2 linked regions of the Caenorhabditis elegans genome follow. The protein of the gene in region 2 purifies or fractionates together with the protein of the main gene of each other region. This does not show direct contact. Each region holds a gene or a part of one and is shown on either strand. Other genes may lie near its edges.

Region 1 (4,733 bases), about 10 Mb from region 2:
TTTAGTAAAAATATCCAATTTTTATTGAATTTTTCAGAGTTTTCAGTGAAAAAATCCAATTTTTCCGAATTTTCAGTAAAAAATCCAATTTTTCCGATTTTTCAGTGAAAAATTCAAATTTTCCCGAATTTTCACGTGAAAAACGGCAATTTTCACGAATTTTCCCGAGTTTTTAGTAAAAATATCCAATTTTTATTGAATTTTCGATGAAAAATTCGAATTTTTCCGAATTTTCGATGAAAAATTCGAATTTTTCCGAATTTTCAGTGAAAAAATCGAATTTTCTCGAATTTTCAGTGAAAACTGCCAATTTTCTCGAATTTTTCCGAATTTTCAGTGAAAACTGCCAATTTTCTCGAATTTTTCCGAATTTTCAGGCAAAAACTGCCAATTTTCTCGAATTTTTCCGAATTTTCAGTGAAAACTGCCAATTTTCTCGAATTTTTCCGAATTTTCAGTGAAAACTGCCAATTTTCTCGAATTTTTCCGAATTTTCAGTGAAAACTGCCAATTTTCTCGAATTTTTCCGAATTTTCAGTGAAAACTGCCAATTTTCTCGAATTTTTCCGAATTTTCAGGCAAAAACCGCCAATTTTCTCGAATTTTTCCGAATTGTCAGGCGAAAAATTCCATTTTTCCGTACCAACAACGGGCACTGCAGACTGTACAGATCCACGTGGAACCTGTCCAGCCGCCTGCATATTCTTGTACTCCATCGGTGTAGTTGTCTCGAATCCAGTCGGCGGAACATCCCAGAATCGGTACTTTTTGGGCTCACGAGGCTTCTGGGGCTCCGGCTCACGGCGCGAACGGGCTTCATCATCACCTCCACGACGTCTCGGCTCATCACGACCACCACCGCCTCGACGACGTTCACGGGATCGAGAACGATCACGATCACCTCCACCTCCACCACCACGACGTTCTCCACGATCACGACTGAAAATGGGGGGTTTTTGGGGTTTTTTGCCGGGAAAAATCGATTTTTTTGCGATTTTTTAGGTTAAAAAATGCGGATTTTCAGTGACTTTCAGCTAAAATCGCAATTTTCCAGTGTAAAAATCGATTTTTTTTGCAATTTTTTGGCTAGAAAAATTGCAATTTTTGGCAGTTTCGCAGGTTTTTGGCGGGAAAAATCGATTTTTTCGCGATTTTTTGGCTAGAAAAATGAGTTTTCATGCAGAAAAATTGCAATTTTTGGCAGTTTCGCAGGTTTTTGGCGGGAAAAATCGATTTTCTCGCGATTTTTTGGCTAGAAAAATGAGTTTTCATGCAGAAAAATTGCAATTTTTGGCAGCTTCGCAGGTTTTTGGCGGGAAAAATCGATTTTTTGCGATTTTTTAGGTTAAAAAATGCGGATTTTCAGTGATTTTCAGCTAAAATCGCAATTTTCCAGGGGAAAAATCGATTTTTGCGCACTTTTTTGGCTAGAAAAATGAGTTTTCATGCAGAAAAATTGCAATTTTTGTCAGATTCGCGCAGGTTTTTGGAAGGAAAAATCGATTTTTTAAGTTAAAAATGTAAATTTTCGCAATTTTCCACTGGAAATTCGATTTTTCGCCAACTTTTGGACAGAAAATTTGACTTTTCCGTGGAAACTCAGCTAAAATTGCGATTTTTTGAAGGTTTTTGGGCGGAAAGATGGATTTTTCGCAAATTTTTGGACAGAAAAACCATTCTTATTGCGTTTTTCAGTACAATTTGAGTAAAAACCGCCACTTTTTATTGTAAAAATTCAAAATTTTTAGGTAAAATTTGACCAAAGAACGCAATTTTCCACTGGAAAATCGATTTTTTGCGGTTTTTTGGACAGAAAATTAGACTTTTCAATGGAAATTCAGCTAAAATTGGGACTTTTTGGAGGTTTTTGGGCGGAAAAATGCGAATTTTTTTGGTGGAATTTAATTAAAAAATCTATTTTTGGCGAGTTTTTGAACAGGAAAATGGATTTTATCGTTACTTTTTAGGTTAAAAAAATGGGAATTTTCGTGGGAAATTTAGCTAAAATTGCGATTTCTCGCTTCCACGACTGAAAATTTCGGGGTTTTCGGCAGGAAAAATCGATATTTTACAACTTTTTAGGTTAAAAAATGGGAATTTTCGGTGGAATTTGACCAAAAAACGCAATTTTCCAACTGAAAATCGAATTTTTGCAAACTTTTGGACAGAAAATTTGACTTTTCCGTGGAAATTCAGCTAAAATTGCAATTTTTTGGAGGTTTTTGGAAGGAAAAATCGATTTTTTGCGATTTTTCAAAGTAAAAAATGCGAATTTTCGGTGGATTTTCAGCTAAAATTGCATCTTTTCCGCTTTTCCTGTGAAAAAATCGATTTTTCATAGATTTTTGGCAAAGAAAATGAAAATTTTGGTGGATTTCTTCAAGCAAAAATCGATTTTTTAAAGAGTTTTTTGGCAGGAAAAATGGGATTTTCGGTAGTGTTTTTCATGGAAAATCATCAAATTTCGCTCTGAAAATCCGATTTTGGGTCAATTTTCTTCAAATTTAGACCATTTTCTAGCGGAAAACTCGATTTTCGCAGAGTTTTCGACGAAAATCCTCGAATTTTTGCTCTAAAAATGTTGATTTTCTGGGTTTGAAGTCATTTTTAAGCCGTTTTTCATGCAAAAAGCGATTTTCAGCGTAATTCTGGCCAAAAAAAAACAAAATTTCCTCCTAAAAATCCGATTTTGGGTCAATTTTCTAGCGGAAAACTCGATTTTCGCCGAGTTTTCCACGAAAATTCTCGAATATTCCGTCAAAAAATGCAATTTTTTCCAGCTTAAGCACCTTCTCGAGCGTCTTCTCGTATCGCGATCTCTACTTCTCGATCGTTTTCTCTTTTTCCGATCATTATCATCCTCTCCACCACCACCACCAGTCGATGATTTCAGATTTTCTTCATTTTCCAGTGGTCCAGTGGTCGGCTGAATCGCTTCGAGACCTCCTTCACGTTGAGCAACGTCCAAAAATTGGCGTTCAATATCTTCAAGTTTCATGCCATCCTGGTGATCACTCATCTGGAAAATTGGGAATTTTCTTTAAAAAATAGAGCTGAAAATCCGGAGAAAATGGATGGAAAAATTTGAAAATTTGGGCAGAGGTTCCCCGGGAAAGTGGTCAAATGTGCTCCTGTGAGCAATTTCGGGTGGAAAATTCCAAAATTTTGTAATTTCTAATGCAAAAGTTTGGAATTTTCACACCAAAATCACCGATAGAGCACATTTGCCACGGAAAATTGAATTTTAATCTGAGAGTTTAGCACATTTTTGCGAGAAAAACTGAAAAAAAAATTTTGCAGTTTTCTGAGTAAAATTGGTTAATTTTTTCAGGATTTTCCTGAATTTTGGGCTCCGAGAGCATTTTTGGATACTAATTCCACATTTTTCAATTTTTCTCGAATTTTCACGTGAAAAACGGCAATTTTCACGAATTTTCCCGAGTTTTTAGTAAAAATATCCAATTTTTATTGAATTTTTCAGAGTTTTCAGTGAAAAATTCCAATTTTTCCGAATTTTCTGAAAAAAAAAACCGAAAATTCGGAGAAATTCACGAAAAAATGGGTTTTTTTAATGGAAAAATAGCTGAAAATTCGGTGGAAATCGCGAAAAAATGAGTTTCTCTGAAAAAAAAAATAGCCGAAAATCAGGGGAAAACCGCGGAAAAATGGAGACAATTGGGCGAAAATGAGGAAATTTGGCGATTTTTTGGAAAAATCGTTGAAAATTCGGTGGAAATCGCGAAAAAATGGAGGTTTTTCTGAAAAAATAGCTGAAAAACCCGACAAAATGGCGAAAATATGGAAAAAAATAGGGTGAAAGTGAGAAAATTTGGAGTTTTTCTGGAAAAAATTGCTCAAAATCGCGAAAAAATGGAGAAAATTGGACGAAAATGAGGAAATTTGGTGATTTTTTAAAAAATTGCTTAAAATTCGGTGAAAATGCTGGAAAAATAGCTCCAAAACGATAAATTGTGAGAAAATAAACGGTATTTGAGTGAATTTGCCGAAAAAATAGGAGTTTTTCTGGAAAAAATAGCTGAAAATCCCGAGAAAATGGCGAAAATATGGAATAAAAAGGTTGGAAATGAAGAAATTTGGGGTTTTTTGGCGAAAAATTGTTTAAAATTCGGGAAAAACCGCGAAAAAATGGAGAAAATAGGTTGGAAATGAGGAAATTTGGTGATTTTTTTACGAAAAAAAAAGAAAATTCGGTGAAAATGCTGGAAAAAAGAGCTCCTCGCTAAAATAGGCGAAATTTGAGTGAATTTGCCGGAAAAAACTGAGATTTTTCTGATAAAATAGCTGAAAATTCGGTGAAAATCGATAAAAAATAGCTTAAATGATGAAAAATCGCTGAAAAATGAGATTTTGCTGAAAAATAGGTAGAATCTATAAAATTTCGGGGAAAATGATGGAAATAATAGAAAAATGGGTAAAAGCACACACAAAATTAGGCTGAAAATCAATAAAATTAGGTGAAAAATGACAAAAATCTCCCAAAAAAATCGATAAAAAAATAGCTGAAAATCTGCAAAAAATCGATGAAGATATGCTGAAAATCGCTGAAAACGAGAGAAAAAATAACACAAAAATCCAATAAATTACAGGAAAAATGTTGCAATTTTATAGCAAAAAAACGGGGCTTAAAGGCACTGAAAATGTGTGAAATTTGACAAGAATTATGTGAAATTGGGGGATTTTCGGGTGGTTTTTTGTACAATTTAGCGGGGAAA
Region 2 (7,256 bases):
TTCAATTCCGGCAAAAAACTGGATTTTCCGGCAATTTACCGATTTGCCGGAAATATTCAAATCCGGCAAATTGCAGATTTGCCGGAAATATTAAAATCCGGCAATTTATCGATTTGCCGGAAATATTCAAATCCGGCAAGTTGCAGATTTGCCGAAAATATTCAAACCGGCAAACTGTAGATTTGCCGGAAATACTAAAATCCGGCAATTTATCGATTTGCCGGAAATATTAAAATCCGGCAATTTATCGATTTGCCGGAAATATTCAAACCGGCAAATTACCAGAGGTTTCATTTTCGGAAAATGACCGGTTAAAAAAAAATTTGTCTTCTAATTTTTTACACCAAAATTTAGAAATTTAGCGAAGTTTAAAATTTAGAATTTTAAAAAAAATTTGTTTTTTAATGTAAAATCTAGAAATTTCCCAGAAAATTCAGCAGAAACTTAGCGGCTTTTGGAACCGTAAAATCTTAAAAAAAAAAGCTTTTTTAAAAAAGGAAAAAATTGGGGATTTTATATAATACAGTGCAGTTTTAGGGGCGAAAATAGGCCAAAAAAATGAATTTTCAAGTTAAAAACTTGAAAAAAAATGCAATTTTAGGACCAAAAAGGGCAAAAAAAAAACGGGAAAAAAAAAATTTAATTTACAAAAAAAAATTGAAAAAACCTCGAGAAATGTCATCGGAACTGTGATAAATATCATGTTGAATAGCGAGTTTTCGGTATTTGAAAAGTTTTCGGCACCGAATCATTTTTCCGACTTTTTTTCAGCTGTTTTCAGGCGGAAAAAGTGAGAGAAATGAATGTGTGTTCTAAGTGATGAGAGAGAGATAGAGAGTGAAAACGAGATTCAGAGAAACAAAAAAAAATGGGGGAAAAAATGAAAATGAAACAAAAAAAAATGAAATATGAATCATATAATTGCTAAAATTCAGGGGAGGAGGAGGAGAGGTTTTTTAGGAGAGTTTTTACAAATAAAGCTCGAAATCAATTCTGGCAACTGGATTAAAATGTCCATTTGTTCCAGAACGTCTGGCAACACCTTCTGCCGAAAGAAGTCCTTTTGATTGGCGATCCATCATTTCTGAAGTCGGAATCGGGCCCTGGAATTGGAAAAAATTTTTACTTTTTTTGAGACTTTTTTTCATTAAAAAAAATTTCAGAATTTTCAAAAAAAAATTTTTGAAATTTTTTTGACATATTTTAATTTATTTTTCGAACACATTTTCGGCAAACCGGCGATTTGCCGGATTTTTCAGCGTGAATTTTAATAAGAAAAAACTATTTCGATTAAAACGGGTCTAAACCTAACAAAAATTGAATTTTTTCGATTTCTGGATAAAAATTGGCTATTTTTGACATTTTTCACCAAATTTTCATGGAAATGTTCAAAGTTTTTGCTAAAAATAGGCTATTCTGATTATATCCCAAAAAATTGGTTTAAAAAAATCAATTCTTCATTTAAAAAAAAAAAAACTATTTTGTTAACACGAATTTCGCCAAAATCGTCCGTTTTTTCGCTGAAAAATTAGGATTTTTCGGTATAAAATCGAGAATTTCCGACAATTTTTCAACAATTTTTCAACTCAAAATTACCAAAAATTCAGGCATTTTGACTTTGTCTTGACTGAATTGTGAATTTTCAGATAATTTTTAATGTTTTTCTTCTAAAAATGCAATAAAATTGAAAATTTTCGAGAATTTTCCGAATAAATATGTTTAAGTTCAAAAACCAAGTTTATCCGATTTTTATTCAAAAAAATTCTTTTTTTTACTTTTTTTTTTTTTTTTTTTGGTAATTTTCTTACTTTAAAAATATGAAAATGTGTAGATTTTTCCATATTTTCTGCAATTTTCTTGCTCAAAATTGCAGAAAATTGGCTAATTCTAGTTTGTTTCACTGAAAAAATTATTTTTTTTCCTCTGAAATCAGTAAAAATTGGGATTTTTTCCAGTATTTTCTTTTCAAATATCAAATTTGTCGTAGAATTTCCCACTATTCTACCTCAATTTTCGCCTCTTCATTAGCCTTATATTCCCATTTAACACTATCATCTGCTTCTTCTTCTTCTTGCTCCATTGGAGCTCCTGCTGCTCTTGCTGCTCCAGTTGAAGTTGGCTCATCAGAGAACATATCCAACTCATCAGCGGCTGTACTTATCATTTTTTGCAATTGGAAATTGAATTTCTCACGATGCCATTCGTAGGCGTCCATCTGGAATTAAAATTCTGATTTTTTTTTTGAGTTTTTTGGCCAAAATTTGGAATTTTTCATATTTTTTATCGAAATTTTTTAACTTTTTTAACAAAAATGCTCATTTTTCGCTATTTTTGATGTTTTTCACCAAAATTTTGTGAAAAAATATAGGTTTTCGCAATGAAAATGCGCGCTATTTTTACGTTTTTCACTGAAAAAAAAAAGTATTTTAAATTGGAAAAATCCGAATTTTTTCAGATTTTAGCTGAAAATTGTCATTTTTCATCAAAACACCGGAAGAAATTGATCTAAAAGAAAAATAATCTAAATTTTCGGGTTAAAGAAAAATATTTTCGGCAAATCGCCAATTTGCCGGATTGTAATATTTTCGGCAAATCGGTAAATTGCCGGATTTGAATATTTTCGGCAAATCTGCAGTTTGCCGGATTGTAATATTTTCGGCAAACCGGCAATTTGCCGGATTTGAATATATTCGGCAAATCTGCACTTTGCCGGATTTGAATAATTTGGGCAAATCTGCAATTTCCCAAAAATTAACATTTCCGGCAAATCTGCACTTTGCCGGATTTGAATAATTTGGGCAAATCTGCAATTTCCCAAAAATGAACATTTCCGGCAAAACGGCACTTTGCCGGATTTGAATAATTTCGGCAAATCTGCACTCTGCCAGTTTTTTTCAGCGCGAATTTTGTGAAAAAATCGCATTTTTCACAAACGAATTAAATTAAAACCGGTCTAAATCTTGCAAAAATTGAATTTTTTTCGATTTTTGGCTAAAAATTGGCAATTTTTTCGACATTCGCGCGGGTTTTTTATGAATTTCGTTTCAAAAAATTGAGCGTAGCATGAATTTTCTGGAACTTTAAGCTGTGAAAAACGAACAATTCCAGCAGAAATGAGTTCATCAGCGAGCCCAGAGAGCTGTGAAGTTTCCTTCTGCCCATCAGTTGGCTCAAATGATTTTCCGGCTTTTTTGGCGGCCCAACGAAGTTTCCGTTCTTCAGCAGCACTTAATCCTTTCTTCTTTTTGAGCTCTGAAAGAGCTTTAGCCACTGTTTGATTGGGTTTCAGGAGGTTGACAAGTTGCTCGAAAATTTCTTTTTTTCGTGCATCACTCATTGTAATTGGCTCCGGCTCTTCGTCTTCCAAGGATTTCTGGAAATTTTGAGGAATTTTTATATTGAAATCAGGGGGGTGGGCGGCAATTGTCGGTTTACCGGAAATTTTTATTTCCGCCAAATTGCCAATTTACCGGGTTTTCAATTCCGGCAAATCCGGCAATTTGCCAGAAATTTTATTTCCGCCAATTTACCAATTTCCCAGGTTTTCAATTCCGGCAATTCCGGCAATTTGCCAGAAATTTTTATTTCCGCCAATTAGCCAATTTGCAGGAAATTTTTATTCCGACAATCTGCCAATTTGCCGGAAATTTTTATTTCCGACAGTTTGCCGATTTGCCGGAAATTTTTTTTCCGCCAAATTGCCAATATCCCGGGTTTTCAATTCCGGCAATTCCGGCAATTTGCCAGAAATTTTTTTTTTCCGCCAAATTGCCAATTTGCCGGGTTTTCAATTCCGGCAATTCCGGCAATTTGCCAGAAATTTTTTTTTCCGCCAAATTGCCAATTTGCCGGGTTTTCAATTCCGGCAATTCCGGCAATTTGCCAGAAATTTTTTTTCCGCCAAATTGCCAATTTCCCGGGTTTTCAATTCCGGCAATTTGCCGGAAATTTTTATTTCCGACAGTTTGCCGATTTGCCGGAAATTTTTATTTCCGCCAAATTGCCAATTTGCCGGGTTTTCAATTCCGGCAATTCCGGCAATTTGCCAGAAATTTTTATTTCCGCCAAATTGCCAATTTGCCAGAAATTTTTATTTCCGACAATTTGCCGGAAGTTTTCGATTCCCGCAATTTGCCGATTTGCCGGAAAAAATCGTATGCCGCCCACCCCTGACACATTTTGAAACTTTTTTAATCGAAAAATCGTGAAAAATTTGGAATTTTCTTCGGATTTTTAAAATTCTGCTACATTTTCCGAGAATTCTCGTCAATTTGGAGGATTTTATCAAGTTTTCCGCGAAATTTTGCAATATTTCTCTGAATTTCAAGCATTCAGGATTTTTTTGAACAATACAAGTGAAAATCGATTTTCCAGCCATTTTTAATGCAAAAATCCTGTTTTTTTTTTCGGAAATTTTGTTTTTTAATCGACTTTTAAACCGATTTTTCCGCCAATTCAGCTCAAAAATCCGTTGTTTTCAGTCAGTTTTAAAGCAAAAAAGTCAGGTAAAAATCGATTTTCCAGCCATTTTCAGTGCAAAAATTCGGTTTTTTCAATTTTTAACCAGAAAAACTATTTTTAAATCGATTTTTCCAGCTTTTATCAATTTTAGGGCGCAAAATCCAGGCTGAGATCGATTTTCCTCCGATTTTAGTGCGTAAAACCGTATTTTTCAAATTTAAAAATGAAAAATTCAGGTTTAAATCGATTTTTCGGCAATTTCCGCGTAAAAATCAGATTTTTTCTTCGATTTTTCCTCCATTTCCCGTGTCGAACCTTGTCCTCATCGCCCTCCCACTGATCTCCGGCCTTTTTCTTCACTAAACTCCAATCAATACCATCCAACCACGCGTCTTGAACATCTTTTGTCTTTTTATCGAAAATAAAGTTTCCAGTTTCATCGAAATGACCCTCTTCCTCGTCCTCTTTCATATTGAAAGCCGTAATTTTAATAGATCCATCAAAATCCACACCACAATCCTCTTGACCTTCAACTCTTCGGGTATCTAGACGTTTGTGATCCTCTTCTTCTTCTTCATCTGACTCTAATGTGTGGAATTTCTTTTTTTCCTCTTCGTCTTCCTGGAAAAATATCAAAAAAATAAATTTTTTCGATTTTTTTTTGAAAAATATCGATTTTTTTCGATTTTTCCCGGGTTTTTTCGCAAAAAAAGCCACTTACATCCGCATTTCCTGGTCTCTCCTTCACCACATCTTCTTCCATTGGAATATCCAATATTCCATCTTCAATTTCTCGTTTATCCCGCTTAAAAACTCTCGTTTCGATGTCGTCGGCGAAAGAAACGGCGCGTTTCGGCATTTTTTGGCTGAAAATGAGTGAAATTTCGTAATTTTTGCGAAAAATTGAGTCATTCGGTGATGGAAAATTGTCGAAAATCAAATAAAAGTTGGGATTATGCGCGGAAAATGAGAGAAAAAAAGAAAACCGATTTTTCGGCGAAAACATTTGATTGTGTGCAGTTTTGCGTGACGGTGTTTGCGGAGTTGGGCGCTATGGAGGGTGTTTTGGAGGACAGAGAATTGCCGCATTGGGCTTAAAATTTGAAGCGAATTTTTGTTATTGCAATGTTAAATGTGCAGAAAAAATTGATTTTGATCTATAAATCAATTAAATGTGAAATTCACAGCAAAAAATCAAAACCACGCCTATTTTTCTGGAATTTCTACTTCTCCGGGACTACTTTTCCAGTGTCTCCAGGTAGCGGGAATTGAAAATTTAAAAATTAAATTTATTTATTTATTTTTCACCGATTTTCCCCAGATTTTCTCTCATTTTCCGTCATTTTCGCTGAAATTTTCCACAAATTGTTCAATTTTCAGATGGATCCCCTAGATGACCTACTCACACAGCTCGAGGGAGTCGAAGAAGAGGAGCTAAAGCCTGTAAACCGAGCCCCGCGGCTTCTGAACATGGAAGAAGCCTGCGAAAATCAAGGTTCTAGTGAGAAACCCAGCGATTCTAGCTCGAAAAATCGATATGAAGATGATGATAGTGATGATGAGGAGCTTTATGTGAAAAAACGGTAGGGAAAAGCTCGAATTTCTCGAAAAATGCAAAATTTTCTCCAATTTTTTCTTCTTTCAGAGAGCTCACGGAGCAAGGAGCTCTTTTAAAGCGGCATCTGGAGAAGAATAGCTCAACGAGTGGGCCAAAGGCCACAGATGCTTGGAAAACTAATAAAGTATGGTGGAAAGTCGAAGAAAAATCTGGAAAAACCCAAAATTTTTTAATTTTTTTGGATTTTTTAAAATCATAACAATTACAACTACAATTTATCAAAAAAAAAATAACGCCAAAACCAAAAAAAAATTTTTTTTCAGAAATCAGTGCTCACCGGGCTCACGAAACCATCCACCGACACAGTAACCGTCGGAATTGTGAGATTCGACAAATTTCAAATATCGATTCGGAATCCGAAAATTTCGGCGACAAGTTTTGGAGCATTTACTGCTGGAATGAAGCTTGAAAAGCTATCAAATCTGAAACCAACGTCAAATTTCAAAGAAGCATGGTGCACGATTGGTGTTATTGTGGAAAAGGGTTTCAAGAAGAAAAGTGCAAATGGAAATGATTTTTTGATTTGGAAATTACATGATTTAAAGGTTTTTAGAACGGAAAAATGAATAGAAAATTCGGAAAATTCAGAAAAAAAACATCGAAAAAAAAATTTTTTTTTAGGTGTTTAATTAAATTTTTTAGAAAAAATTCATAGTTCTAAAACTTACAAATTCGTTTTTAAAAAATTCCTACTTTTAAAATTTTTCGTCGGATTTCTCGATTTTTGCTCCAAAACTACGGTCTCGACACGACAAACTTCTGTTAAATGCGAAAAGGTGTGCGCCTTTAAATAGTACTGTAGTTTCAAACTTTTTGGGATTTTTTCATTTATAAAATTGAAAGAAAATTCGAAAAATTGACAAAAAAACTGATTTTTTAGTGAAAAAAATTTTTTTTTTAATTTCCGAAAAAAAAAAAATCAAAATTCAATTTTTTTTTTGCTTTTTGAAAATTTAAGAAAATCCTATTTTTGAAATTTTTTTCTCCGACTTTTCGATTTTTGCTCCAAAACTACGGTCTCGACACGACAAATTTTTGTTAAATGCGAAAAGATGTGCGCCTTTAAATAGTACTGTAGTTTCAAACTTTTTGGGATTTTTTTCATTAATTAACAGAAAACTATGTAAAAATCGATGAAAGTTCCAAAAAAATTACAGTACTCTTTAAAGGCGCACAT

Evidence for each region. Proteins that work in one complex are often made in the same cells at the same time.
Region 1: the proteins of teg-1 (region 2) and uaf-1 purify together in Caenorhabditis elegans (affinity purification with western blotting; one study listed by BioGRID). This does not show direct contact.

The regions. Positions count from the first base shown.
Region 1 is NC_003281.10:1,073,537-1,078,269, forward strand, and holds the start of uaf-1 (Splicing factor U2AF 65 kDa subunit), read right to left. Parts: upstream 3,020-4,733; coding exon 2,790-3,019; intron 940-2,789; coding exon 644-939; intron 1-643. UniProt on the Caenorhabditis elegans protein: Necessary for the splicing of pre-mRNA. Binds to the polypyrimidine tract of introns early during spliceosome assembly.
Region 2 is NC_003281.10:11,311,729-11,318,984, forward strand, and holds teg-1 (GYF domain-containing protein), read right to left. Parts: upstream 5,328-7,256; 5' UTR 5,321-5,327; coding exon 5,183-5,320; intron 5,083-5,182; coding exon 4,777-5,082; intron 3,374-4,776; coding exon 3,101-3,373; intron 2,216-3,100; coding exon 2,006-2,215; intron 1,104-2,005; coding exon 969-1,103; 3' UTR 501-968; downstream 1-500. Other genes in the region: mcm-10 (Protein MCM10 homolog), read left to right, coding at 5,842-6,044, 6,107-6,203, 6,343-6,624.